7 linked regions of the Macaca fascicularis genome follow. The protein of the gene in region 1 interacts with the protein of each later gene in a pairwise test. Links are inferred from orthologs where the notes say so. Each region holds a gene or a part of one and is shown in the gene's direction. Other genes may lie near its edges. The genes, in order: ADAMTSL4, LMO2, SHFL, NATD1, TOP3B, APOL6 and CFAP206.

The links.
Region 2: the proteins of ADAMTSL4 (region 1) and LMO2 interact in binary tests that used the Homo sapiens proteins (3 or more experiments, as listed by UniProt). The two-hybrid records come from large-scale screens. The link is inferred for Macaca fascicularis from reciprocal best matches to the Homo sapiens genes ADAMTSL4 and LMO2.
Region 3: the proteins of ADAMTSL4 (region 1) and SHFL interact in binary tests that used the Homo sapiens proteins (3 or more experiments, as listed by UniProt). The two-hybrid records come from large-scale screens. The link is inferred for Macaca fascicularis from reciprocal best matches to the Homo sapiens genes ADAMTSL4 and SHFL.
Region 4: the proteins of ADAMTSL4 (region 1) and NATD1 interact in binary tests that used the Homo sapiens proteins (3 or more experiments, as listed by UniProt). The two-hybrid records come from large-scale screens. The link is inferred for Macaca fascicularis from reciprocal best matches to the Homo sapiens genes ADAMTSL4 and NATD1.
Region 5: the proteins of ADAMTSL4 (region 1) and TOP3B interact in binary tests that used the Homo sapiens proteins (3 or more experiments, as listed by UniProt). The two-hybrid records come from large-scale screens. The link is inferred for Macaca fascicularis from reciprocal best matches to the Homo sapiens genes ADAMTSL4 and TOP3B.
Region 6: the proteins of ADAMTSL4 (region 1) and APOL6 interact in binary tests that used the Homo sapiens proteins (3 or more experiments, as listed by UniProt). The two-hybrid records come from large-scale screens. The link is inferred for Macaca fascicularis from reciprocal best matches to the Homo sapiens genes ADAMTSL4 and APOL6.
Region 7: the proteins of ADAMTSL4 (region 1) and CFAP206 interact in binary tests that used the Homo sapiens proteins (3 or more experiments, as listed by UniProt). The two-hybrid records come from large-scale screens. The link is inferred for Macaca fascicularis from reciprocal best matches to the Homo sapiens genes ADAMTSL4 and CFAP206.

The regions. Positions count from the first base shown.
Region 1 is NC_088375.1:110,701,468-110,705,584, reverse strand, and holds the start of ADAMTSL4 (ADAMTS-like protein 4), read left to right. Parts: upstream 1-1,317; 5' UTR 1,318-1,408; intron 1,409-1,664; exon of another isoform or gene 1,665-1,817; intron 1,818-2,066; exon of another isoform or gene 2,067-2,206; coding exon of another isoform or gene 2,207-2,421; intron 2,422-2,422; coding exon of another isoform or gene 2,423-2,532; intron 2,533-2,534; coding exon of another isoform or gene 2,535-2,698; intron 2,699-2,700; coding exon of another isoform or gene 2,701-2,899; intron 2,900-2,901; coding exon of another isoform or gene 2,902-2,972; exon of another isoform or gene 2,973-3,107; intron 3,108-4,065; exon of another isoform or gene 4,066-4,117. UniProt on the Homo sapiens protein: Positive regulation of apoptosis. May facilitate FBN1 microfibril biogenesis.
Region 2 is NC_088388.1:31,709,443-31,713,579, forward strand, and holds the start of LMO2 (rhombotin-2), read left to right. Parts: upstream 1-1,337; 5' UTR 1,338-1,489; coding exon 1,490-1,496; intron 1,497-1,619; coding exon 1,620-1,845; intron 1,846-4,137. UniProt on the Homo sapiens protein: Acts with TAL1/SCL to regulate red blood cell development. Also acts with LDB1 to maintain erythroid precursors in an immature state.
Region 3 is NC_088393.1:10,631,531-10,635,750, forward strand, and holds the start of SHFL (shiftless antiviral inhibitor of ribosomal frameshifting protein), read left to right. Parts: upstream 1-1,420; 5' UTR 1,421-1,531; coding exon 1,532-1,552; intron 1,553-2,024; coding exon 2,025-2,148; intron 2,149-2,346; coding exon 2,347-2,396; intron 2,397-2,571; coding exon of another isoform or gene 2,572-2,710; intron 2,711-4,220.
Region 4 is NC_088390.1:20,671,312-20,674,811, reverse strand, and holds part of NATD1 (protein NATD1), read left to right. Parts: intron 1-3,268; coding exon 3,269-3,387; intron 3,388-3,500.
Region 5 is NC_088384.1:31,160,359-31,163,858, forward strand, and holds part of TOP3B (DNA topoisomerase 3-beta-1), read left to right. Parts: intron 1-1,038; coding exon 1,039-1,195; intron 1,196-2,088; coding exon 2,089-2,202; intron 2,203-3,500. UniProt on the Homo sapiens protein: Releases the supercoiling and torsional tension of DNA introduced during the DNA replication and transcription by transiently cleaving and rejoining one strand of the DNA duplex.
Region 6 is NC_088384.1:16,023,175-16,027,335, reverse strand, and holds the start of APOL6 (apolipoprotein L6), read left to right. Parts: upstream 1-1,361; 5' UTR 1,362-1,440; coding exon 1,441-1,670; intron 1,671-4,161. UniProt on the Homo sapiens protein: May affect the movement of lipids in the cytoplasm or allow the binding of lipids to organelles.
Region 7 is NC_088378.1:87,849,811-87,854,094, reverse strand, and holds the end of CFAP206 (cilia- and flagella-associated protein 206), read left to right. Parts: intron 1-348; coding exon 349-492; intron 493-3,349; coding exon 3,350-3,580; 3' UTR 3,581-3,784; downstream 3,785-4,284. UniProt on the Homo sapiens protein: Essential for sperm motility and is involved in the regulation of the beating frequency of motile cilia on the epithelial cells of the respiratory tract. Required for the establishment of radial spokes in sperm flagella.

The DNA.
Region 1 (4,117 bases):
ATATTAATAACAAGAGGCCGGGCACGGTGGCTCACGCCTGTAATCCCAACACTTTGGGAGGCTGAGACGGGCGGATCACGAGGTCAGGAGATCGAGACCATCCTGGCTAACACGGTGAAACGTCTCTACTAAAAATACAAAATACTATAAATATATTTTGTATATAAAATTTGTATAAAATTTTTGTAAAAATATTTGTATAAAAAATAGTATAAATATATACTATAAATATATTTTATAAAAATATAAAAATACAAAAATACAAAATACTAAAAATACAAAAAATTAGCCGGGCGTGGTGGTGGGCGCCTGTAGACCCGGCTACGGGGGAGGCTGGGGCAGGAGAATGGCGTGAACCCGGGAGGCGGAGCTTGCAGTGAGTCAAGATCGTGCCACTGCACTCCAGCCTGGGCGAAAGAGAGAGACTCCGTCTCGAATAATAATAATAAACATAACACAGAGTAAAAAGCAAAAGCCTTTTTCAGTTCTCCTCCAACCCTGAACCCCTCCCCAGATGTCACCAATACTACTGAGTTTGGGGTGCATTCTTCCATATATAAATAAAGAGACATATCCAAGTCCATCCCATATATTAGATTAGTCCCATTTTGCAGATGAGCAAACTGCACCACACAGAGGTGGAAGTATTTGTGGAAGACCACACAGCCGGCAAGTGCTGGAGCTGAGATTCAAAACCAGGTCACTCTGACTCAGAAGTCAGCACGTTGTCCTTCCGCTGAGTCCCGAGTGTAAAACCTTACTGAGGGAAAAACCGAAGCTCATAGAAGTCCCAGCAATCAGAACCACAGGGTTCACTGCCCAACACGGGAGAGCTAGGAGTGACTGAGCTTGCAGGTGAGGCTGCGTGGAGGAGAGAGCCTGGACCCACGCGGATCCGGGGCCGCGGGCACCTCCGTCCAGGGCGCCGCCCTCCCGGACCAGCGGCTCTCCCAGGCCGCCTAGCTCCAGGCGCCCCTGGAGGCCGCCCGCGCCGCGCCGCTCTCGCACCGCTCACCCGAGCCACTCGGAGGCCCGGGCTGCTTAAGTCCCTAATCCCAGCCGGACACGAGGACAGCGCCCGGGAGCGACCGCAGCCTCCGACCCCGGCTGGGCCCGCCCGGGCTTCTGCTCACGCAGCCGACCGGGGGCGCCCGGCGCGCAGCCCGGGGTGGGTGGTCCTGGCGAGCGGGACTGCGAGGCCGACCGTCCCCACCCCGGGACCGCCAAGGGGCGCGGGCTGGGGCGCGTGGCGGGCGGGGCGGGGGCGGGCGCGAGGGCGGAGTCGCGGCCGAGGCGGCGGTGTCCGGAGAGCGGCTCAGGGGCCGCAGTGGCCGCCGCGGAGCGAGGCTGCCTGTAGAGAGCGTCCGGGTGCAGAAGGGTTAACGGGCCACCGGGGCGCGCAGAGCAGGTAGAGACCTCCCCGAGACCCCGGCCCCGGCCGCCCCTCTCCCGGGTCCCGTTAGACCACCAGCCCCGCGCGCCCGCGTCGTCCCCTCTCCCTGCGCTGTGCGGTCGGTCGCGCCCCCGCCACGACCCCGGCCCCAGCTCCGGTGGCCTCGGACGATCTTCCAGCCCCTGGGGTCGAATTCCTGGGGAGGGGGTCTGATCCCGTGGAACTCTGGCCCCATCACCCGGGCGAGGAGTGAGCCAAAATTCCTCCTAAGTCACACAGCGAAGTTGGAAAACAGACCCACGACCTCCCCGCGCGGGCAGCGCCTCCTGCCCTCTCCCTAGGAGGGTGCTCTCGGACGGTGTGCCTCCCGCCCCCCTACTGCAACTCCTGGAGTTGGAGGACAGGGTCGCCGCGAGGGACGCAGGTGGGTGCCCTTGATCCAGTTCAGTCCGATGACAGAAGAGGTTGACAAAAAAGAAAGACACCTGTTGGGGTGGCCTGCCAGACCCAGGAGTGGAGGGCTCCATGAGGGCCAGGGAATTCGGACTCAGGACAGGGATTCTCTGTGGCTATTCCAGAAACATAGGGTCGAGCCACACTCTCCAGCAGGGAGACCTGGGGGTGAAGGGGTGAGCCCTGCTCAGGTCTCTGTTCCTTGGTTTTCACTGGGCAGTGTGGAGAGGTGTGGTCCGGAGGAGCCCACATTTGTCCAGACCAGGGTCTATTCTGGCACCAACCTCTGACCTCTCCTTTCCCCGTCCTGGGCCGTGAACGACACCAAATGAGGCACATGGAAAGGGGTGAGAAGCACAAATGTGCGTGTGTTTCTGCAGAGGAGGGGGCATGGGCCCCTGCCGGGCTGCGCAGGGGAGGGTGGGGTGGGACTTTTCCAGAGAGGGAGCCAGGCCTGGCCCGGGCCCCAGGAGCTCACGTCACCCCCACCCCTCACTTCTCCAGGGAACTGCCAAGGCCAAACCCAGCTCGGGACGGGATTATGTGTACTGGGTAGACCCGTGGAGAGGGGCGGTGAGATCTGGGTGGCAGAGAGAAACAGAGGCAGAGAGGGCATGGAGAGGGGTCGGCATCAGAGAAGGGGCCGGCAGTGACCATCACCCCCTTTCTTCTTCCCTCAGCTAGAGTAACAGAGTCAGGCAGAGCCTGAACACTTGGGTGGAACATGGGCCCTTCTCTGGAGACCCTGGCCTCCCCCGTTCAGTCAGGGCGGAGTTGCTGACCTCAGTGGCCGGCCCAGCCAGGGGAAGGAGTGGCCATCGGCAACCCCCTCCCCAACCCTAAACCGTGAGGCACGCCCGCTCTGGCTCAGCCACTCTGACCCCTCCCTCAAATTATGAGCCCTAGGTCTCAGGGAGGGCAGTGGGGCGCAGTGTCTGCCCCCAGGCACATTCCTTCCCTTCTCTTGGTCATTTTCTGCCCCAGAGCTGGCCCACCTCAGCAATTTGAGGGCTCCCTGGATTCCTTTCCCGGGTGCCTTTCAGATCCAACAGAAACATTTTTTTTTTTCCTGGAAAGCAGACCCAAGAGTGGGATGAGGAGCAGGGGTGGGAAGGCCTCTAAGTGAGAAGGGGGCAAGGAGAGTCAGGCTTTGTGGCTCGGGAGGGTTCCAAGCCTCACTTCTCCAGTGTTCAAAGCTGAACTTCAGATGGACTTCCTGCCTCTTGAGAATGAGAGGCCTGTGGCTGGGGCAAGAGGCAGCCCTGGCTGCACCTCTCCTTCCCGCTTCCCCAGCTGGTAGAGCCGCACAGGAAACAAGCCCTCACTGAACCAGTGCTGGATGCTGGCACCCAGAGTGGGTGTTACATTGCGGGCTTCTTCTCTAGAGATTAAACCGTCAACCCATTTAGCTTATCCCTTGGCCAAAAGTGTCTGAGATGTGCCTGGATGTTCCCGCACATCTCTTCCACAGAAGGGAAGAGAAAGCCAGGAGGCAAGTAGGACAGAGAGATGTCTGGGGAAGGTCTCGTTTCTGGAAGACCCGAGGAAGGGGCTTCTGGTGGATCCTCAGAGAGAGTGTCTGGCACATCCTCAGTGGAGCCTTCCTCCTCTACTTTCTAGGCACCTCTGGGAGGGCAGGAGTGGGAGCAGATGACAACCATTTTAGAAGGAGCCCTCTGGCTGGGTGCGGTGGCTCACACTTGTCATCCCAGCACTTTGGGAGGCCAAGGCAGGAGAAGCGCTTGAGGCCAGGAGTTTGAGACCAGCCTGTGCAATTTAGCTGGATCCCGTCTCTACCAAAAAATACAAAAATTAGCTGGGTGTGGTGGTGCACGCATGTAGTCCCACCTACTCAGGAGGCTGAGGAGGAAGGAGAGCCTGTGAGTTTGAGGCTACAATGAGCTTTGGTGGCACCATTGCACTCCAGCCTGGATGACAGAGTGAGATCTCCATCTCAAAAAAAAAAAAAAAAAAAAAAGCCGTTTGTGTGTGCCTGAGCCGGCCTAGAAACAGTCTCTAGGTAGGATTTGGGGAGGAGCTAAGAAGCCCCTACAGGGCCCAGGGGTGGGGACTGAGCCTTAGTTGGAAGGCTGAGGTCAGCCCCCGACCATGTAGCCTCTACAGATGGACAAGGCAGTGATCCTCCCTGCTCCCACCCTGAGGATCCTAAAGGGGTGGGCCAGTCTCACCACCTCCTCCACTCTGATCTGTCCTCCCAGCCCCAAGCTCTCTGGACACTGGAGAGGTAACCACCAGGCTTCTGTCCCTGCA
Region 2 (4,137 bases), on another chromosome or scaffold:
GTTATACTTGTAACAAGTCATGAAGCTTTGGCTCTGAACAGGGAAAATGAAGCACTCAGGGATTCACTTCTGACTTCAACTACCATCTTTCAGGGTGAGCTCATCCAGGCCCATGTGCCATCTTGAAAATGGGAACAAAAATGTATGCCTATGATCCAGACTGATCATATAAAACTATGGATCCTGAAAGTACGTTCCCTCTTTGCAAGCCTTAGTGACTGGCATCACGCACAAATAGGCCTTTCAGTTTCTGAACGCAGATATTTTCAAGGACCTCTGAGGCCCAGGAGAGACAAACGTTTTCTCCATGGAAGGGCAGACTATTGGCCTCCCCTCTCTTACCCTCTGTGTTCCTACCTCTTTCTAGAAGGAGGCTGAGAGGGGAAGCCTGAAACCCCAAATCAAGTCCGCCTTCTTTCTCTGTGCCTGACCCAGGGCAAAATAATCTCCCTAATACTGTTCTGGATCACTGGAAAAAACACTTTCTCTGGTCGGGGTACTACTGGCACTTTACATGGGGGGCAGTTTAACCGCAGGAGTCCGCTCTCTGAAAGGTGCTGAGGGAGGGGATTCCGACACCAGCCTACTGAGAGGAGCCCTGGCCCCACGAAGTCCCTCCCAGCCACCCTCCCTCTGGGATTAGCTGCCCTGACTCTGCTCAGGCGTCCCCAGCCCGTGCAGTCCCGGCTCGCGCACCCCCATCGCCTCTGCAGAGCGCGGCCGCAGCCTGGAGCCCGCAGCCGGTAGCCCGCAGAGCCGCGCTGTCCGGGGCATCCCGGTGCTCGGCGTCCGTGGACCTGGGATCTCGAACCTGGGACGGGCTCAAAATCCACTCGGAACACTTGCATTTCTGTAGGTGCTTATTTCACATTCTTGTTTTTTCTTGCTTGCTCGAGCTGTTCGTGGGTTACTTTCTGCCTTAGTTAAACCAAAAGGGAAAGGCTGAAGGGGGGAAGCCCTGAAGAATTATTTAGTGGCTGCCCAGCCTCCTCTCCAAGGAGAGGTGTTAGCTGAGCGGATCTCCCCGTCCCCGACACTGGCCCCTTTAAGAAGCCAAGTCAGTCCTGATGCTGCTGTTTGTATTGCTAATCCCCAGGAGCCCCGTTAAAAAAAAAAAAAAAAAAAAAAGAAGAAGAAGAAGAAAAAAGGGGAGGTGGGGGAACCGGGCAGCTGTCTCTTTAAATGTGATTTCCTTCTATTGTATTTGAATCGTGATCAGGAAAAAGGAAATGAAACCAGAGACAGAGGGAAGCTGAGCGAAAATAGACCTTCCCGAGAGAGGAGGAAGCCCGGGGAGAGACGCACAGTCCCCTCCCCGCCCCCAGGCCGCCGCCCCCGTTCTGCCCTCCGCGGCGAGCAGCGCCCGCTACCCGGGCCGAAGGTGCGAGGGGCTCGGGGCGGCCGGGCGGGCGTGCACCATCCCCGCGGGCGGCGCGGAGCCGGCGACAGCGCGCGAGAGGGACCGGGCGGCGGAGGCGGCGGGACCGGGATGGAAGGTTAAGTCCTGAGCAGCAGCAGCAGCTGCAGCCGCCCAGGGCCAGGCTGCGCGCCCCGGCCCCCGCCTCGGCCGCGGCGCGCCCGCAGCCCGGTGATTCGCTCTCTCTCTTTGGCATTTGAAGGGAGCGCGGTGACTGTCCTTGAGCGCGGAGGGGCGAGCTCGCCGCCGGAGCGCCGGAGCAAGCGGAGGCGCAGGAGCGGCGGCGGCGGCGCCCGAGCACCCGAGGGGGTCCGAGCCCCGGCAGCCGGCCAGCCCCGCGCCACAAAGGGAGCGCCCCTGCCGCCCGGCACGCCGCCTCCCTCCCCAATGTCCTCGGCCATCGAAAGGAAGAGCCTGGACCCTTCAGAGTAAGTGCGGCGCCCCTGCCCCTGCCACCCCCGGTGTCCACGGCCTCGCGTCCCGGAGCGGCTGGGGGACCCGGGCGGCCCTCGAGGGGACTCCAGGTGCGCGCCTGCGGCGTGCTCTTGGCCCCCTGTGCGGAGCGCTGGGCTCCCTCTTCCTCCCGGGTGACTTCGGGGGCGCTGGGAGAGGGACTGGGCGGTGGGCGGCAGGGAGAGGGGTCGGCTCGGCGCCTCTGCGGGCCACTCCAGGCTATCAGGACGCTGCCTAAAGCCACCGCGGGCCAGAAAGTTTGCACGGGAGCAGGCACAAGGGGAGCCTGGCGGCGTGCAGGTGCAGTCCGGAGAGCGTTCCATGCTTGACTCGGCTCCCTTCTCACCTCTCCTTCTCGGCCCTTTCTCTTTGTCCATTTGGTCTTGGAAAGGGGAACATTCCAAGTGGAGGCCTCCAGGGTCCCCAGCGGCCGCCTCCCCGGTCCGCAGGTGGAGCCGCTGCCAGCCGCGCGGGTAACGGGCGGGTGAGGGGTCCGACGGTCCACCTCGGAGCTGGCTCTGGGCCTCCGGGGATTTCTAGAGCAGCGAAATCCGGAGTAAATCTGAGTACGTGTAGCCCTCCTCGGGGTCCACCGATGGGGGCCTGTGAACCTCGAAAGTTAATGCACCATTTTGTGTACAGGTGAATTCTTCTAGGGAGTAGAGTCTCGTAGTTTTTAGCATAGTCTCAAAAGCGTTTGGGGTCAGGGAACCAGAGCTCTAATGAGCATTGACCGCATCTGTTTTCTGAGCCTCGTACTGGTTTGGAATGTTTTTCTATCTCTCACCAATTCTTTAGTGTTAACATGGGTAGCAAGGGGTGTTTAAGATATCATTTTCCTGTCAACGCAAATGCCCTTTTAAGAGTCATTAGCTGTCTGGTTTTGAGAATTTTTATTCCTTTGAAGTCCCCCTCTAATCCTTTGAAGGGATTTGTTACACAAGACCAAAGGAGCTGGTTAATGACTTGTCCATTTGTGCTTTTAAGAGACATTTGTTTTGTTTTTTCTTTTCCTGGTTTAAAAGAATTGTGCTTTCCTGCTTGAAATACCGCACACACACACACATACACCCTTCAATTTCGGCTTTCTATGGTGTTTATTTACCTGGGTTTTACCCTCAGTTAGCAGCATAAAAGCTCAGCATGTTCTCATAAAACACAGGAAGTACCACCATCCAATGAGAATATAAACATCACTATTCCGTCTTGAAGGTTAAGACACCAGTTCTGTAATGAGCTAGGTTTGTTGTAGCAAAAACCCCCACTTCCTTCAACAAATTCTCAGGAGAAAAATAACATTTCTTTTTAAAAGTATGTTTATGTCAACAATGGGTTTAAAGGGTGGTTTGATCACTTTTTTAAAAATAAACTTAAAATTACAACTGAGCTTTGAGTTTCAGAGACTGGGCAAGATCATAGTAACACAATAAGGGAGTGAATTGGATGAATTGGTGCCTCATGCCTTTTTGATCAGCAGAATTTAGTCACTAATCCTTTCAATAGAAGGTAAATCTGAAGGTTTCATTTCCCTGAAGGAAGTTTGCGTCTTTCAAAGTTTGTGCTTTTTCACTGAGGTTAGAAAACTGAAACATCCTAACTTCCTAACACAGCAGGTATCTACTGCTGGAGGCTCACCAGCTCCTTCCTTCACTTCACTATTTGCCCAGCGAAGATAGTTTCTGATCAAAGAGGGACAAGCTAGTTGAGAAATTGCAGCAGCACATTCTCCACCCCCTTAGAAATTGTTATGATTATCCCAGAAATCCAGGCTGAAGTGATACTCAGGTGTAATATTCAAGATAAGGGTCTGGGAGAATATAAAATATTAATTTGAGGGTGAATCAACCTCATTCATTGTCTTGGATTGCCCACTAAGTATAATGTGATATTATCAATTAATTATAGAAAGACAGAGCCAATATCTTATACTTTACTTCTCCATCTCATCTCAGGCCATCACCATAACTCTTTTACTTTACGTTCCTCCTGTTGTCCAGTATCCTACTAGATGCTTCATTGTGTACTTCCTCAAAGCCGACTTGGGTCATTACAATCAGCATCTCCAAATTACAGATGGAGACTTGCCTAGCTATATGCAAATGAAACATTTGGACAGAAAGCCAGCCAGAATTCATGAACACAGAGATTCCCTTGCTATGCCACTGGTGGCCCCCACTGCCTCCCCTGTGAGTAACAAGAGCAGTTCATTTGAATTCCAGGCAGTTTTGCACCAGCTAAGGGCAAATTATCCTCTTTCACAGTCCTTT
Region 3 (4,220 bases), on another chromosome or scaffold:
TCTACAAAAAAAAAAAAAAAAAAAAAAAAAAAAAAAAAATTGAAAATTAACCAGGCATAGTGGCATATGCCAGTAATCCCAGATACTTAGGAGGCTGAGGTAGGAGGATTGTTTGAGTCCAGGAGTTCGAGGCTGCAGTGAGCCGTATTCAAACCACTGCATTCCAGCCTGGGCAACAGAGCAAAACCTTGTCTCAAAAGATAAATAAATAAATAAATATCCATCTGGGGGTGTAATTTTAACAGTTTTACCTATAGAGGTGTGCAATGGAGAAAAAAATTTAGAGTCGTTGAACACAATGCTATTTTGCCCCTCAGAGAGTATCTGGCAGTCTCTGGAGACATTTTTTGTAGTCACAACAGGGAGAGTGAGGAGCCACTGGCATCTAGCAGGCAGTGGCCAGGGATGCTGTTAAATGTCCCCCAACACACAGAACAGTCCCCCACACAAAGAACCAGGCAGCCCAAAGTGTCAAGAGTGCTGGGCTTGAGAAGCCCTTGCCCGAAAGCCCCAGACTTAGTCTTGTTTTGGGGGCTCTGCACGGCTGCCTCAACTCCCCACTCTATTCGTCCCCGAGCTAAGACCTCCAATTTCAGTGACTGTACAAAGCATCCCCTCCTCCAATGAAGTAGCCATCTCTGTGTCCCCAGGCTGGGCCAGAGCCCCACCACCTAACGGCTCCCTGATGCGCCCTGTACTGGGTTAGAACTGTCCAGCCCACGGGGTTCTTAACCATTGCAGATTCCCTGGATCCCTGAGACAGCCGGATTCTACCGGGCAACGAGAGACCAAGAATCTGTGTTTTTCTCAAGCACCGCTCCCCACAACCACACACACACTGCCTGCCCCTATCAAGGGCACACAGCAGGTGGCCCAGTGACTAGTTGAGTGCCTACTGCAAGCCAGGCGCTATTACGCGATCCACTCGGGAATCTTGGCATATACTCCACTCCATGGTGTAGACACCAGGATCCTCCCCATTTCACAGAGGGGTAAACTGAGGTTCAGAGAGGTGACCCTAGCTAGGACAGAGACTCAGGGCAGGAAAAGCGCCCAGGTCCTCATGAGCGCCAGATTCCCGGGGAAGGAGGGAGGACAGAGAGGAGGGTGATGAACTGGGGGAGCGCGCGCTGGGTGGGGGGGCGCGGGGCCTCGCCGCGGCCTTCCGATGCGGCCCCGCCCCCACGAGGGACGTGAAGACGCGGACCCCGCGCAGCGTGGGGACATGTGACCGACTGCAGAGGCCGCGCCGCCTCCCCCGCCCGAGGTCTGCGCGCTCCGCCGCAGGGTGCAGACCCGGGGCGACCGCCTGGGTTTGGGGCGCAAGAGCAGAGGCGGAGCCAGGGCGGAGCCAGCGCGCCCGGTCCCCCCTGAATCGAAAGCGAAACAGGGGCTGGGGAGGAAGGGCGGAGCCGGCCCCGAGGCACCGCCCCCTGCCCTGCGCGGCTGCTGGACCGACGGGCGCGCCCAGGTAGGGGGGCGGCTGAACCGCGCAGTGCGGACCCTCGCGGGGACCTGCGCCGCCGCCACCATGTCTCAGGAAGGTGTGGAGGTAAGAGATGGCTACGGCTGGGCCGGGGGCAGACGCGACAGACTCCGAGGAGCGGCCGAGAGGCGCGGAGGGGGCTTCGCAGTTCCTGGGGACCCCCATCCTAGAACCCCAGATCTTTACCCCTGCCTGGCGCTCACCCCCCTTGAAAAGGAAAGTGACTCCCACGTTTCCCCAGAGCGAAATGAGGCCTCTCCGAGGAAAAGCGGGGGCTGCAGGGTCAAAGGTCAGAGGCCAGAGATAACCTGGCCGCCCCCCCACCTTAGGCTGGGACGCTCGCCTCAGTCCGCGCCCTCCCCCAGCGCCATGTGGGGACTTTGGCTTTTTCCAGGAAATGCCGTAGAGGGATGAAAGGGGGGGCGGCGGAGGCCAAAACCAAGGGTCAAGTTCAGGCCGGGAGAACGGTGCCTAGAGATGGGGGAGGGACGATCGCGCTTCCCCTTCGCCCACCGGAACCCCCCTGTCCCCATCCCAGCTGGAGAAGAGCGTCCGGCGCCTCCGGGAGAAGTTTCATGGGAAGGTATCCTCCAAGAAGGCGGGGGCTCTGATGAGGAAATTCGGCAGCGACCACACAGGAGTTGGGCGCTCCATCGTGTACGGTGAGGCTGCTGGGGTCCCGGGCCTGGTGCGGAGACCGCGCGTGGGAGCGCCGAGGGGGCGTGGTCTAGGGAGAGGCGTTGAGATCACCTCCCCCGGAGGTCCCAGCCTCGGGGAGGCTCTGCATCGCGGCTCTGGGTGGCCTGGAACTCCCACAGACCCTTCAAGGGCCCTTCTCTTATACGCACTCTCCCCCGCAGGGGTAAAGCAAAAAGATGGCCAAGAACTAAGTAACGATCTGGATGCCCAGGTAACCTGTCCCCTCCCCTCGCAAAGGACCGGGTCACGGGAGGGACAGCAAGAGGGGGGACCCGACCGGTTCATGGTGACTGACACTTCTCTGAAACAGGAGGGACCAGGCATTGTCGGTCTGTAACTCATCACCCAATATCACTTTTTCACCTCTCTATCGTTTGTCCGGCCAGGGAGCCTGCAAACAGTAGGCGCTCATTATGCGCTGATTGTATTCAAAGGCGGACAGCCATGAAACTAGGCAATGAAAGGAGTCAGGATTATGGCCATCGTGGGGGGGCAGAGATCAGAGAAGACTTCCTGGAGGAGGAGGTACCAAGTCTTAAAGGATGGAGAGGAGTGAGCCCTGGGAGGGGAAAGGGAAAGAAAGGCAGGGGCCTTAGGGTGTGGGAGGGAATGGCATGAGCAAAGGCTGGGAGGTGGGGAAGGGTTGTTAGTGTCAGTCTCTAGAAAGGCTGGGATGAGCAGGGGATTGGGGAGGAGAGAGAGGGAGGGGAAGGGAACCTTTGTGTTGAATGAATGAATGAATGAATGAATGAATGAATGAATGAATGAATGGCTTTGAAGCACAGGTGCATCATGGCTACTTTGCTTCTTCGAAAGCTTTGGTGATGGGAACACTGTGGATTTCGCCTGCCTGAAAGGCTCAGTGTAGGGCTGTTACAGTATAATAGGCCTGGCGCCATGGCTCACGCCTGCGATCCCAACACTTTGGGAGGCTGAGGCGGGCGGATCACCTGAGGTCGGGAGTTCGAGACCAGCCTGACCAACATGGAGAAACCTGTCTCTACTAAAAAATACAAAATTAGCTGGGCATGGTGGCGCATGCCTGTAATCCCAGCTACTCGGGAGGCCGAGGCAGGAGAATCGCTTGAACCTGGAAGGCAGAGGTTGCAGTGAGCCAAGATCACGCCATTGCACTCCAGCCTGGGCAACAAGAGCGAAACTCTGTCTCAAAAAAAAAAAAAAGGCCAGGCGCGGTGGCTCACGCCTGTAATCCCAGCACTTTGGGAGGCCAAAGCGGGCAGATCACGAGGTCAGGAGATTAAGACCATCCTGGCTAACATGGTGAAACCCCATCTCTACTAAAAATACAAAACAACAACAACAACAACAATTAGCCAGGCGTAGTGGCAGGCGCCTGTAGTCCCAGCTACTCAGGAGGCTGAGGCAGGAGAATGGCGTAAACCCGGGAGGCAGAGCTTGCAGTGAGCCAAGATCGCGCCACTGCACTCCAGCCTGGGCAACAGAGCAAGACTCCGTCTCAAAAACAAAACAAAAAACAAAAAAACCCAGAGGATAGTAAAATATGTATCATAGTCTACATTTATACATATAAAAGTATGATAAAAATGATAGCAGAGGGGCCGGGTGCGGTGGCTCACGCCTGTAATCCCAGCATTTTGGGAGGTTGAGGCGGGCAGATCACTTGAGGTCAGGAGCTCGAGATTAGCCTGGCCAACATAGTGAAACCCCGTCTCTACTAAAAATACAAAAAATTAACTGGGCGTGGTGGTGCATGCTTGTAATCCCAGCTACTTGGGAGGCTGAGGCAGAAGAATCACTTGAACCTGGGAGGTGGAGGTTGCAGTCAGCCGAGATCACGCCATTGCACTCCAGCCTGGGCGACAAGAGTGAAACTCCATCTCAAAAATATAATAATAACAATAGCAGAGGGTAGCATTCATTTAGTATTTCCCATATGGCAAGACTCCAGGAATTGATTTATTTCATCGCCACAGTGACCCCAGGAGACAGGTCCTGTTATTTATCCCCATTTCACAGACAAACTGAGGATGAAGTCACTTGCTAGGTTCACGAA
Region 4 (3,500 bases), on another chromosome or scaffold:
CTCACCCCCGGCTTGTTCGGGCCCAGCCACTCTGGCATCCTTGCTCTTCCTTCAACCTCCTATCCCAGGGCCTTTGCACATGCTGTTCTCGCCAGTGGATGGCTCATACCCCACATCTCCTTTGGGGTCCCTGTATGCCCTCTTTACAGTGGCAGCCCTGCCCCTCCCCACCCACCCCTCCTCTGCTGTGTAGTGATCCTTGGCACCTGTCAGCTTATCACCTGTGATGTATGTATGTATGTATTTACAGACAGGGTCTCATTCTCACCCAGGCTGGAGTGCAGTGATACAATCATATCTCACTGCAGCCCCAAACTCCTGGGCTCAAGTGATCCTCCCGTCTCAGCCTCCCAAATAGCTGGGACCATAGGTGTGTACCACCATGCTCAGCTACCCTTTTTTTTTTTTTTTTTTTTAGATGGAGTTTTGCTCTTGTTGCCCAGGCTGGAGTGCGATGGTGCGGTCTCGGCTCACTGCAGTCTCCGCTTCCCGGGTTCAAGTGATTCTCCTGCTTCAGCTTCCCAAGTAGCTGGGATTACAAGTACCCGCTACCACGCCCAGCTAATTTCTGTATCTTTAGTAGAGATGGGCTTTCACCATGTTGGCCAGGCTGGTCTCGAACTCCTGACCTCAGGTGATCCGCCCGCCTTGGCCTCTCAAAGTGCTGGGATTATAGGAGTGGGTCACTGTGCCTGGCCAACTTTTATTTTTATTTTTGTAGAGACTGGGTCATCATGTTGCCCAGGTTGGTCTCCAGCTCCTGGGCTCAAGCGATCCTCCTACCTCTGCCTCCTGAAGTGCTGGGATTACAGGCATGAGTCACCGTGCCCGGCCCCTGTATTATTTATGATTATATTACTTATTATGTGTCTTCCTCAGTAGGTAAGATCCATGAGGAAGAATTTCATCAGTTTTGTTCACTGCTGCCTGCCCTGCAGCCCAAACACTGCTGGAACATAGCAGGCCCTTAATGAGCCTGGGGTAATTAAATGGCCAGGTTAGGTAGGCAGCTCCCTTGGTGACCGGGTCAGTCTCAAAATAGCCTCCTCTCTCTGCTCGCCTGTCCTGGGTGAGTTGAATTAACCCCAGCAGGTGGGGAGCCAAGAACCACATCCCTTGCTGTGTAGCCAGGACAGGCGGCAGTGGCCACAGCTGGGCCTTGGCCAGGGTGGCAGGCACAGTCCACAGAAGGACAGTCAGGCCCACAAGGAGGAGGCAGCAGGGCCGGTGCGGGGGCGGGGCTGCAGGCATGAGGGGAGTGGGGCTGGGGAACCCTCAGCTGGGCCTGGCGGGAACGGGGAAAGGGCATCGGTCAGAGGGAAATGCCTAGGCGATGGCGGGTGCAGGAAGTAGCAGGTGTGTTGGTGGAGCAGAAAGAATGGCTGTGGCTCAGGACCTGCGGGCCTGGGCTCCAGCGTCATCTCGGCCTGCTGTGTGACTTGGATCCCTGGATCTCAGTAGTTCCTCCTCTGGAAATGGGGAGATGAATTGTAGCCATCTCCTGAGGCTTTGGGGAGAATCAAAGGAGAGACCAAGGGCCAGAAAGCCTCCTTGCTGCCGTTGGCCCCAGTTCCGGTGGCCCTGGACTAGTGGTTGGACCTCTTGGCCCGTCAGCCTTCCCCTCGTGTCACCCAGCGCAGGCTTTAGGGGCAGATTCTCTGGGGCTTTGAAGTTAAAGCACGTGAAACACAGCGTGCTTTTAAAGAGTGGAGAAAGTGCCAGCGTGTTGAGTCTCCCACCTTGGAACCTCTGCCCTGGCCATGCCCCTGCACCACCTTCCCGGCACTCCCCTCTCAACTCAGAGGCTTTGGGGAGAATCAAAGGAGAGACGGAGGGCCACTGAGCTGGGCACGGTGACTTCCCCTCCATTGGAGGGGCCTCCCTGACGGCCCCCTCCCAGCTTGTTTATTTCATTCACACACTTGGCGCTCCCTGAAACTAGAAACCTCAGTGTTGTCCTAGGCTCCCCTTTCCCTGCTCGACCACATCCGAGCCATCAGTAAATCCTGCTGGCTACACTTTCAGATACCATCCAGTCAAAACACTGCTCCACACAGCCACACTGCCCCCGCCCTGGTCTGTGTTCTGTCTTCACCCTCTGGGCTCCCTGCCCCTGCTCCCCATCCGTTCTCCCCACAGTGGCAGCAGAATCCGTGAATCGCATCCGTCCCTTTGCTGAGGGGCTTCCAGTGGCGCCCAGCTCAGAATGCTTAGGAGGCTCTGCAGGACCTGCCCTATCACCTCCCTGCCCCCATCTCTGCCCTTCCCCTCACCCACCCCACTCCAGCTGCCCCTCATTCAGGCCCACTCCCGCCTCAGAGCCTTTGCAATGGCTGTTCCCTCTGCCCAGAACACCGTTCCCTCAGAATGGCTGGTGCCCTCTCCTTCCTGTCTTCACCTGCCCCCATTCCCTGGCATCCTACACATCCACTTGCTTTTCATGTTTATTCTTCCTCCCGTTTGGGTTTCATGGAGGTAGGACTCCTTGTCTGGCTTGTTTGCTGCTATATTCCCAGCATCTGAAACAGTACCTGGGGCTCAGGAAACATTTGGTGGATGGATAAGTGGATGGGTGGGTCGATGGATGGATGGGTAGGTGGAGAGGCAAACAGATGAGACACTGAAAACTGTGGTTAGGAAAAAACTTCAGTTCATTGTTTGCCCAGCAGGAGTTTGGGGTGGACTGGTGAGCTCCAGGCCTGGCAGGCCTGGTGGAGTGTGAAGACGCATTTGTTACTGTCTCCCGTGTCCAGCGTCATGGACTCTGCCACGGGCCTCTGATCTTGCCTGCTGCATCTCGGTCAGGGTCCAGCAGGTGGTCCTGATGCGTGGCACAGCGCTGCCTCTCTTGTCTCTTCATGCTCTGCCTTAGTCGCAGATTTGCTGAGCCCTGTTCTGTGTCCAATGCTGGGTCCTGGGGCCAGATCCGGGGGTGTGGTGGGGTGGGGATGCAGAGAGCAGGGCTACAGAAGGGGTGGTAGGGCTCTGGGATGCTAAGACTGACGTAGTAGCAGAGGTTCAGGTGTTCTAAGCACTGCTGTAAGCATGTCACAGAGGTTACCTCATTTAATTTTCCAAACCAGCCTATGAAGGACATTTTATTGTATCCCCACTTTATGGATGAGGGGACTGAGGCGCCGAGAGGTTATTCAGGATTTAGCTGTAGCAGTTGAATGGCCCCCAATGCCTGTCCCTCCACCCCAGTCTCTGCACCTGAGTCCACTGTGATGGGAGTCAGCATAGGCTTACTTGTCTCCACAACCCCCAGGATGTCATGACCGGGCCGTCCTGCTCTATGAGTACGTGGGCAAGCGGATCGTGGACCTGCAGCACACCGAGGTCCCAGATGCCTACCGTGGGCGCGGCATCGCCAAGCACCTCGCCAAGGTAGGGTAGGCAGGCGGCAGGGCCAGGTGGGAGCGGGGACGTGGGGGCTGCCACCCTCCCTCAGAGGAGACGGTGGCCCTGGTGGCCAGTCCAGCCTGCTTCTTGGCCCTGGG
Region 5 (3,500 bases), on another chromosome or scaffold:
ACTACAGGTGCTACAGGTATGCACCACTATGCCTGGCTAATTTTTGTGTATTTTGTAGAGACAGGGTTTCACTGTATTGCCCAGGCTGGTCTGAAACTCCTGAGCTCTAGCAATCCGCCCACCTTGGCCTCCCAAAGTGCTGGAATTACAGTTGGGAGCCACTGCGCCCAGGCTAAACAAAAATTTATTTTTTTGTTTGTTTGTTTTTTGAGACAGAGTCTCACTCTGTCACCCAGGCTGGAGTGCAGTGGCACAATCTCGGCTCACTGCGACCTCTGCCTCCTGCATTCAAGTGATTCTGATGCCTCAGCCTCCCGACTAGCTGGGATTACAGGCATTCGCCACCACTCCTGGCTAATTTTTATACTTTCAGTAGAGATGGGGTTTCACCATGTTGGCCAGGCTGGTCTCAAACTCCTGACCTCAGGTGATCCGCCTGCCTCAGCCTCCCAAAGTGCTGGGATTACAGGTATGAGCCACTGTGCCTGTCCAAGCATTTTGTTTTAATTAGCTGGGTGTGGTGGCGTGAGCCTGTAGTCCCAGTTACTTGGGAGGCTGACGTGGGAGGATCACTTGAGCCTAGGAGTTCAAGGCTGCAATGATCTGTGAATCCCCATTAATGCATTCCTGCTGGGCAACACAGCAAGACCCTGTCTCTACAAAAACCAAAAAGACCTAAAGAAAACTGTTTATTTAGCTGACAGAGATCACCTATGCCCTGCTCGATAAAGTGTGTTTGTCTGTGCTTTGGGGGTCCTGAGGAGAGTGTGCGGTAGATAGAATAGAATAGAAGGCTCCCTGGCCCGAGACAGTAGAAACCTCTGTCTACTCTCTCACTGGCTCTGTCACCCATGTACACACATGAATCCTCCCTAAGGCTATGCCCACTCTGCTCCCACTGACTTCTAAGCGGGGACACCACCTGGTGCCACCTCCCTCACGCACCACCCCTGGCCTTGGGCTGGACTCACATGGGTGGCCATAATAGTGTCTTGAGTGAATCAGTGACCAAAATACCTTTCTCTCCACTCCCTCCAGGTTTCAGACTAAATATTTCCAGGGGAAATACGGTGATTTAGACAGCTCTCTCATCTCCTTTGGGCCGTGTCAGACTCCAACCCTGGGATTCTGTGTGGAGAGACATGATAAAATCCAGTCCTTCAAACCAGAGACCTACTGGGTGCTGCAGGCCAAGGTTCCTTGCCTTTCTCTATGCATGCTGGGGCTTTCTGGGTTTGGGGCACGGATTCTGAGAGTCTTCCATCATCATCAGCTGGCAGGCCCCAGGCTGAGGGCAGAAGCGTGGACAGGTATACCTGGAAGTGGTCTGTGGTGCCCAGGGCTGAGGGACCCCAGCCTTCATGGGGATAGTGGGAAGAGATTGGGCCTGTATGTGCTGAATCTGGATAAGGGGGAACGAGTTCAGCTCTGGCAGTGCAGGGTGAGGTCACCTCACATGAATCACAGTGGCTGCAGTGGTCAGGTCCAAGCACTGGACTGAGGCCATTGACTTTCAAACTTTTTAAAATTCCTGGAACCCTTTCTTCAAATAAAAACCTCCACGGAAGCTCACTGTAAGACTTAATACAGCTAGGCACAGTCACTGATGTCTGTAATCCCAACAGCCTGGGAGGCTGAGGCAAAAGGATTGCTTGAGGCCGGGAGTCCAGGGCTACAGTGAGCTACGATTGTGCCACCGCACTCCAGCCTAGCAACACAGTGAGACCCTGTCTTGGAGCTGCTCTGGCTTGGGACCCCGGTGGTGGCCATACCTACCACTGGCCAGGCACTGGGGATAGGCAGGGGTGGTGTGAGAAGTAGGGGCTCATGTGCTTCTTAAGGACACATCAGCCTCAGCTTTGGGCTGCCTTCCTGAGACTGACTGCCTGGTTTCAGGGCACGGGGTGGAGAGGGCCAGATGTCAGCTTGCGTATCTGCCCGCCTGAACAGGTGCAGCTGTGAGCCATTAGAGCCAGGGCTGTTTTGCTCCCAGACAAGGAACAGCTTCATCTGTCCTGGTTCTTCCTGGCTTTGGGTTCACCTAGAGACTTTTTCTTGTGCGTTCACCCTTTATGCTTTTTCCTGCAGGTTAACACTGACAAAGACAGATGTCTCCTTTTGGACTGGGACCGAGTAAGAGTGTTTGACCGGGAGATTGCACAGATGTTTCTAAACATGACAAAGCTGGAGAAGGAAGCCCAGGTGCGCCTGCTCCACCCACACCTACCACAGTTGCCTTGGGTGAGGGTGGCCCTTGGATGCCTCCTGCTGGAGGAACAGCCTGTGATCCTAGGCCATGTCTTCGTCCCCCTTTCTAAAACACAGACATCTTTTTGGAAAGCCGAAAGCTTACTCCCCCATATACTCCTAAGATATTTCTGCCCGATGCAATAGCCACAGTGTACTGCATGCCCGCTCCATACCAAGCACTCTCCACGCCTGTGACCTTGTCAGACCCCTTCCACCCTCCCCTTTCCGCGTGACCCACTAGGCATTACCTCTGTGTGGCAGGACTCCATCTCACACAGAGATTCAAGCTAACAACTGTTGAGGGACCTGCGTGCAAATTGATGAACTTGTCCAAGGTCACAGCTAGCAGGGGATAGGCTTGGGATTCCAATTTCAATCAGCTTGCATGCTTTTATGGGATTATGTTTCTTACTCAGGGTTTCCATGAATTGAAAGGACATGCTGCTTGGCTGTTAGGAAAAGGGCGAGGTGACTGGGCTGCACAGGTGGGGCCACATCTGTGGCTATTGAAGTAAACATGCTACAGGTGTGACAGCTACCAGATCCATTGAAACACAGCCTGGCCTACTTAGCCACCTTCTCCTTGTCCTTCTCCGGCGTTCCTTGAGTGCCCTGTTGCCTGCCATGCCACGTCTCAGGCATCTGAGACTTCTAAAGCTGCTCCAGGCTGTCAGCATTGATCACATTCCTGCAAAGACACTGTTACCACCTCCAGGCCTCATGCCAGGGAGCCCAGCTTCACTGCTGCACGTAACAACTGGCCTCTGTGTTACCACCCACATCTGTCGGTCTGGAATGCAGAGGGCATTGCCATGACCAGCCTCCTTGGGATTGACAAGGGCAAGGGCCTGGGGTTGAGTTGTTTGGATTGTTTTTGCCACAGGCAAAACAAAGAGTTGTCTCTTCCAACAAGTGTTCAGCAGAGGTAGAGAGTGGTAGGACCCCAACCAAGCACAGCTCACGGATACACTCCACTAACCTGTATGGTGTTTACACAAATTCCAGAATAGTTACCAGCACTTAAAAATTATGAGATTCCATACGAAAATTCTGCCTTCCAGCTTCTCTTGAAAAAGCAGAAGAGGTAGCAATACTAGCAGGTGCAGGCAGCAGCCTTCCCCACAGCAAGGAGTGGCACTTCCCCTGGGACGGGCCCCACTTGCCATCCCTGTAGCTTGGCGGATGCCGGCTTCTGTAGGATTTCCATCTGCAGCCCTTCTGACTCTTCAATCTTCCAGGTTTTCTCTCAC
Region 6 (4,161 bases), on another chromosome or scaffold:
AGCAGGCAGGCCTGGGATGGCTCAGCGACCCCAGCCAGGCAGCCAAGTTGTCTTCAAGGTCAGGCTGTGTTTAGAGTGTTCTCCAAGTGTGGGAGGCCACAGCAGGGCTGGCTTGTGGAATCTGGGATGCCAGGGTTGGAAAGGCCCCTACAGGACCCAACTCAGCAGCGCTTAACCCCTCATTCTTGCTCGTAGGGCCAAGGGAGAGGAGGTGGCCTCCATCGTCGCAAAGGCAGGACTGGCTAGGTGGGCCACGCCTTCTGCAAAGCAACAGCACCCAGTGTGGCCTCAGCTAGGGGTGGTGACTGGGGATTTCTGCAAACCACGTGACTTCTGATCACAACTTGACAGAAATGCTAGAGAGACACAGATCTCAGCCGGTAACCACACTGTGGGCTCATTCTTGCAGACACAGCGCCTAGGACTGGTTCTTAGCTGTGTAATCACTAACTTCTAGAAGCCTGAGTTTCCTCTTCCTTAAAGTGGGAGACAGAGTATCACATCCTGTATCTCCAATCCTTGAGGCCATATGCATGTCAGAGTTCCCAATTAATTTTTAGAAAAGTAATGGGGTTCAGGTATCACGTACTATGTAACCCACCCACCCCCAGCAGCCCTCCTCAGTCAAACACATTAATATTTTTGCAGTGACAGTGAATATTCAAATTAAGCAAGAGACATAAAAACCATAAGTGAATTCATGCCAGATCAGGTCAGGTTTTGCCACTAAATGAATAAATTATTTATTTTTTTTAAGTTTTTGTTTTCAGGCCGGGTGCAGTGGCTCACACCTATAATCCCAGCACTTTGGGAGGCTGAGGTGGGTGGATCACTTGAGGTCAGGAGTTTGAGACCAGCCTGGCCAACATAAAACCCCATCTCTACTAAAAATACAAAAATTAGCCAGGCGTGGTGGCAGGCGCAGGTAATCTCAGCTACTGGGGAGGCTGAGACAGGGGAATAGCTTGAACCCAGGAGGCGGAGGTTGCAGTGAGCCGAGATCGTGCCATTGCACTCCAGCCTGGGCAACAGAGCAAGACTTCATCTCAAAAATAAAATAAAAAATAAAATAAAAAAGTTTCCATTTTCAGAGGATTCTGCATTTCAGAGTTATTAGCCCTTAAATGCCGGCCGTGCACCTCATAGGGCTGTTATCCACATCAAGATGCTGTGGAGGGAAGCAGTTTCAGAACAATCAGTGATGATCGCTACTGTGAATCCACTATTCATCAGGTGCCCCATCGCTTGCTCATGGGCTCCTCACCATAGCTCTAAGCCACAGGAGCTATTTTCATACCCCATATAGGTCCATCCTATAACACAGCCAGGACAGAGACGAGAGACTCAGGCCTTCTGACTTTGATTCTGCTCTTTCATCTTGTTGTGCATGCAGTTAGAGAAACAGGCAAAAAGGAAAATGAAAGTGCACAGCTGGAGCCCATGATTTCCTGGAAGAGCCCGAGAGTTTCGCTTTTTTTATTCCTGCAGCACTTAACAGAAACCAGTTTTGCAATCAATTCCTGTTCAAAAGCCACCCTACAGTCTTTCTCCAGCCCAGACGCTCACAGCCTCCTGCAGGACCGGGGGCCTCGGAGAGTCAAGGACAGAGGTTCAGGATCTTCCTCTCCCTCGGGACCCGAGGCCACAAAGGAGAGCTCCGTGGAGAGAAGGTGAGATGGCAGGCAGAAGTTGGGGGAGAAGGGGGCTGCTGCTCTAGTCCCTGAAGGACAAAGCCCCCAAGGGGTTAGCTTTAGGCACCTGACTCAGGAGAAAGAGCTGCTGTCCAAGCAGCGGGGTTCAAATGCCAGCCAGAGCATGGGGAGAGTCTGAGGATCAATTTCTCCTATGTTAAACCCGGTAGGTTTCTGTCCCTTACAGCCATTTGAGGGTTAAATCAAAACGTGATAAAGCATGTGATGTGACTAGCCAAGCTGCATTTGCCCCTCCACTGCTGGGGATCCAAGGGCTTAAGCAGAGGTGATCTGGCAGTTAGAAAGCAGGTGATTTCAGCTGGGCGCGGTGGCTCACGCCTGTAATCCCAGCACCTTAGGAGGCCGAGACGGGCGGATCACGAGGTCAGGAGATCGAGACCGTCCTGGCTAACACGGTGAAATCCTGTCTCTACTAAAAATACAAAAAATTAGCCAGGCGTGGTGGCGGGCGCCTGTAGTCCCAGCTACTCAGGAGGCTGAGGCAGGAGAATGGCGGGAACCCGGGGAGGCGGAGCTTGCAGTGAGTGGAGATCGCGCCACTGCACTCCAGTCTGGGCGACAGAGCAAGACTCCGTCTCAAAAAAAAAAAAAAAAAAAAAAAAGGAAGAGGGTGAGGGAGTTTGTGATAAATATTAGGGTGACTAGGCCAGGCGCAGTGGCTCATACCTGTAATCCCAGCACTTTGGGAGGCTAAGGCAAGTGTCTTGTTTGAGCCCAAGAGTTTGAGACCAGCGTGGGCAACATAGTGAGATCCTGTCTCTAAAAAAATCAAAAATTAGCTGGGCGTGATGGTGCACACCTGTAGTCCCAGCTACTGGGTGGATAGGGGGTTGCTGAGGTGGAAGGATCACTTGAACCCAGAAAATCAAGAATGCAGTGAGCAGTGATCACACCACTGCACTCCAGCCTGGGCAGCAGAGTGAGACCCTGTCTCAAAAAAAAAAAAAAAAAAAAATTGGGAGATTATCTTGAAGCTGTGTTTTCAAAGTAAGCAGACTTTTCTTACTTAGATTGTGTATCTGAAGAAGCTGGTTTTGTGGGGGAAGGCAGGTAAGGAAAGACTGTCATAAATATCCTATAAGCTTTCAAATGAAAATAATGTCTCAAATCCTCTCCCAATACAACTCTCATCTCACAACCACCGAGAGCAGGTCAGAGGGGAGGGAATGGGATCTGCTCAGATGAGTTTCCTGCTGTTACCTTTGCCCTGCATCCCATAGGACTAATGTAAAAAAAAAATGGGAGAGGTACTGGGGGACTCTGGTGAAAAATGGGGTTCCAGACCAGGGTCTCTCACCCCCGGCACCCTTGTCATGTTTAACCAGGTGATCCCTGGTTGTGGGGGCCGTCCTGTGCATTGTAGGGTGCTTGGCAGCATCCCCGGCATCTGCCCACTACATACCCTCTCCAGCTGAGACCATCAAAAATGTCTCCAGATATTAGCAACGTCCCTGAGGAGCAAATGTACCCTGCTTGGGACCGACCACTCCAGACTCAGCGTGGCTGGAATCGTACAGGCTCTCCTGCTTACTGTGTAACACTGGCCTCCCTATGTCTCAGTTTGCACATCTGTAAAATGGGCATAATCTTAGCATCGATTTCACAGGGTCACCGTAAAGCAGGTAGATGTATGTCTGGCGAAAGTAAGTCCTTAAAGGTGCCAAGCCCCTCAAACCAAACCGAGCTTCACATCCCAGAGTGGGGAGAACGTTTTTATCTTTGACGCATTAATTCTTTTTCATAGACTGCCCCAAAGAAATAAACAAACATGTAGACACACATCTATATAAGGATTTTAACCAAAAATTATAAATACAAACTTTTAAAATAACTGAAAACAACCCAAAGTTTCAACAGCGAGAAAGTTACTGAATGTGTAGTGATACATTCGTATAATGAAATGCGACACGGTTTCTATATATCACCTGGGGAACTACTACCATACAATGTTTTTTTTTTTTTTTTTTTGAGACGGAGTCTCGCTCTGTCGCCCAGGCTGGAGTGCGGTGGCCGGATCTCAGCTCACTGCAAGCTCCGCCTCCCGGGTTCACGCCATTCTCCTGCCTCAACCTTCCGAGTAGCTGGGACTACAGGCGCCCGCCACCTCGCCCAGCTAGTTTTTTGTATTTTTTAGTACAGACGGGGTTTCACTGTGTTAGCCAGGATGGTCTTGATCTCCTGACCTTGTGATCCACCCGTTTCGGCCTCCCAAAGTGCTGGGATTACAGGCTTGAGCCACCGTGCCCAGCCCCAATGATACAATGTTAAGTGACAAGAATTCACACAAACTACATGAACAGCATTCATTTAAATTTTTGGTTTGTAAAATAAAATGTCACTAGTTTTTATTTCCATGTGGTGAGTGTACAGGTGGATTTTATAATCTATTTCTAAATTTTCAACCATAAACTTGTATTCAAACAATTAGAAAATGAATGGCTATAAGAAT
Region 7 (4,284 bases), on another chromosome or scaffold:
GTACTGAGCTCACTGCCTGGGTGATGGGTTCAATCCTACCACAAATCTCAGCATCGTGTGATATACCGTTGTAACAAACCTGCACATGTGCCCCCCTGAATCTAAAATGAAAGTTAAAAATAAATACCCCCTACATAAACAAAATCATGAAGCCGTAATTCCCAGAAAAACAATTATATTCAGCTCATTAATTATGTGCTTATTTTCTTTATTGGTATTTACAAGTATATTCCATGTCCAAAAATTCTTGTTTTTTAAGTGTTTTGTCAGTTTTAGCTAAATATTTTAGTTATCGGTAAATAATGTTTATTTTTTCCAAGCACTAATTACAAAACTCCACTTCTTTAGATGAGAGATGCTGACAAACATTATATAAAACCAATTACAAAATGTGAAAGTAGCACACAGACGGATACACACATACTGCCACCAACAATTGTGAGATCATATGAGTGGAATGAATGGGAATTAAGAAGAAAAGCTATAAAATTGGTTTGTAACAATATTTTCTAAAATTATATGTTGGGGAATTTTAATCTGTTGTTAAAGAGTTGGTAAATTATTTATATAAAATAACGAGTTTTATACAGTGTGTTCTTTGCTAACAAAAATATAATTTATAATTTGCTAGGTTTACATTATAAGATTGTCTTCTAATTTTAAGCATATGTAGAACAATGGTAATTATCTATCTATCTATCTATCTATCTATCTATCTATCTATCTATCTGTCATCAGTTTTAAAACTTGGTGCTAGTATTTAAAGCACTCCCAACTTCCTTTAATCACTTAAGGTATACCATTCTTTTTTTTTTTTGTTTTTTGGACCTTTTCTATTAAAGCATAGATATTTTCCTCTGAACAACGTATTATCTCCAGACCCTGAGCACTCTCATCCTTCTGATTCTCAGTCACCTTAATTACAATATACCTACCCTTAAAGCCTGTCTTCGAAACTCTCATCCCTGTCCAATTCAGTGAAATTCCCCCCACCAACCCCTCTTTATAGTATCTTGTCATTTTAAACAATGAATATTTATAGTATGGAAAAAATAAAATCTTTTATGTCTGTAGCCCCTTTTTAGTATATTTTATCCATCTCTTTAACTGAAATCAGGTGTGGAAATAAAATGCCTACCCAAATGTGAACAAAGGGAGGCTATTTATTTAGAGCTTGCTATAGCAAGGGAGTCAGACACTGTCACTTGTTGTTTGGTAGACTGAAAGCATGCAGAGGAGTAGGAAAGCTTTATAGTCAGAAAAGGGGGAAGCCTTTAGGTGTTCTCTGATTGTAGGTTGTTAACATGAGAAAACTGGAGGCAGGCTAACTAGAAGCAGGGCATTTTATGTGATTGGTTTGGTGAGCATATCTAGGTTTCTCTGGTTGGTCCTGAGTTGGGGGAGAAGGATCCAAAACATGGAGAAGCTGGCTAAGTCCTCAACATTCTGGGTCAATTGCTACAGCTACAGAGGTTGAGACTGGCTTCCCCGACTGGTCGATACAGAGGCTGCAAGTTAAGGAGTTCTATTGTCACATATGGTCTAGCCTTTGTCCATTTGTATATTCAGTCTCTCACAGGCTTCCCATTGACCACATTATTTCCTTTGCTACTCACTCTGGTGGCAACTTTTCAGTTTCCTGGCATGAGGAAGGATCAGTTTCCCTATATATCTTCCAGATCATTGTTCCATTAGTATTCCTTCCTATCAGTTACTCTTCTGTAGTTCAAGAAATGCCCAATCCCCATATTATTTTCTATTATCTACTAAACTCACTTGAGTTCATCAGACTTATTAGGTAACATATATATCCCACGACTTTGTTCTTCATGGGCTAATTGTCTAGCAAGTGATATTGTTACATTAAAAATATTTCAGTACCTCCTTGTAAGTGGTGTAACAGAAATGAAATGAAAATTCTACTAAATTAACATAGGTGATATTTTAGGTTGCTTTTGAGATACAAATAGGCAAAGAGGAGGAGGGAAATGATGGCTGGATAGGATATGAGAGATAGAGGTGGCAACATAGGTATGGACTGGAAATGTTAAGAGAATGGAGTATTCAGGGGTCTGAACTTCACACTGACTGAGCCCTCTCTTCCCATTCCTCAATCTCCACTTAATTCTGACTCTCACCTTGGGCCTTATTATTCCCTAGAACTGTATTATATTGAATGCCAGCTCCCCAAGTGTCACCTACCCAACCTGTGGATAAGACAAAGCTGAGTTTACTGCTTATAGCCATAAGGGAAAACACCACCTCAACAGTGCTTTGGCAGTGTCTCAGAAGAGGAACTGCAAAGTCAGAATTTATTGAGAATTTGAAGTTTGCTAAGGCAGGTCTTCCAATGACTGAGGTGGACTGGGGGTAGGATGGAGGTTTGAATCGGATTGGGTAAGGATCATGAAAAAGCAGTCCAGCATTGGTGGGAATAGCAAGAAGATTTTTTGAGGCAAGGGATGCAGACTCTTAGGACTGAAACTGTGTGCCGATGCTTACTACTGAAGAGTTGACACATCTTTGAGGTAGTACTGAATGAGCAATCAAGTTATTTGCTTAGGCAAGAGTCTCTTGGAATGGTAAAATTATGCTAATGAAGACAGTGGAATAGTAAAGTCTTATTAATGTGGACAATAACCTGGGTGTTGGGGAGTAGTTTCGGTTCTCAGTCATCTGCAGTATCTCAAACTCTGAAAATGTTTCCTCTAATTCCAGGTGTCTCCTTCTTCACTCACATGCTATAATGCCTTCTAAGGTTTTTCTTGGCCTTTACTATAACCGCAGCAACCTTATTCTTCTTTTTATAAGCTCCTCCTTGCTTCCCAGCCTGAGTAATCTGTTTAACCTCACATTTACTAGTAATCTATAAAGGGAGTAAGCAAAATGTAGAATACTGTAAAATACAAATGGAAAGCATCAGACTCTTTTATGTTAAAAATCTAGGGTGAAGCCCATTTTTAAAAGATAATACTGTATATAAATCTTAAATTTTTGTCAAAAAAAATATAGTGGAAAAATCCAAGTTATAAGAATCTCAAAGTATAATAATGAAGGAATTAGATTATATTAACAAATAACTGGTTGAGTTCACTGTAATTTTGAATCTGTATGTTTTTTGAGGTCAATTTTCAACATTTTACATATTTTTCTACTTCTTGGTAAGGGATATTTAATTTTCTGTTATGTTCTAGATTTTCCAGTGTTTTATAGAAAAAATGCTATGTTATGGAATTAATTTCTTGTGGATTGAAGACAAAAATAGGCAGATATTAACTGGTATCTGATAATATTTCAGGTTATTTGTTCTTTAGAGAAATGTTAATTCCTGTATTCTCTTTCTCTTTAGGCTAATTTGCACCAGAAAGTTACTCACTCAGTACAAACTGATCTCAGTCACTTGAGAAGAGAAAATTGTTCCCAGGTGTACCCTCCAAAGGACACTAGCACCCAGTCCATGAGGGAAGACAGCACTGGGGTGCCCAGGCCTCAGATTTACCTGGCTGGTCTTCGTGGAGGAAAGAGTGAAATCACCGATGAGGTCAAGGTGAATTTAACTAGAGCTGTGGATGAAACCTAATTAGAAACAACGTTTTAAAGTAGATGCTACTCAATTATGAACACTAGCAAGTACTTAAAGGTATATTAACATCTATAAAAATTAATTTTGTGGGGTGGCATATTCATTGGTTGTATGTTTATTGGGTTCCCACATTTTATCAAACTGTTTTCTGTAATACAGTTTTCATTCTGTTGAAAAATAAAACTGTCCATTTATCTTTTATTTGTTAGAAAAAGTTTGTCAGCATTAAGATTGAAATTATAACATTTAGATAGAAATATATTATAAGATTATTACTGGAATAGAAGTCTATTTCTAAACCATATTTAGTGTTAAACATTACAAACTTAAAACCTAATCAATATTTTCAGCTTTATTAGCTATTAAATGTTACCATAGATTAAACTGATACGTAACAAACCTTACTAATTTGGAACAATTGGAGCAAAGGTCCACGTGATGTTTTTTTCTCTTTCTTTCTTTTTTTTTTTTTTTTTTGAGACAGGACCTTGCTCTGTCACCTAGGCTGGAATGCAGTGATATAATCACAGCTCACCACAGCCTCAACTTCCTGAGCTAAAGCAGTCCTACCTCAGCCTCCTGAGTAGCTGGGACCACAGGCGTGTGTTACCACACCTGACTAATTTTCAAAACAATTTTCTGTTGAGACAGAGTTTCACCATATTGCCCTGGCGGGTCTCGAACTCCTGGGCTCAAGCGAT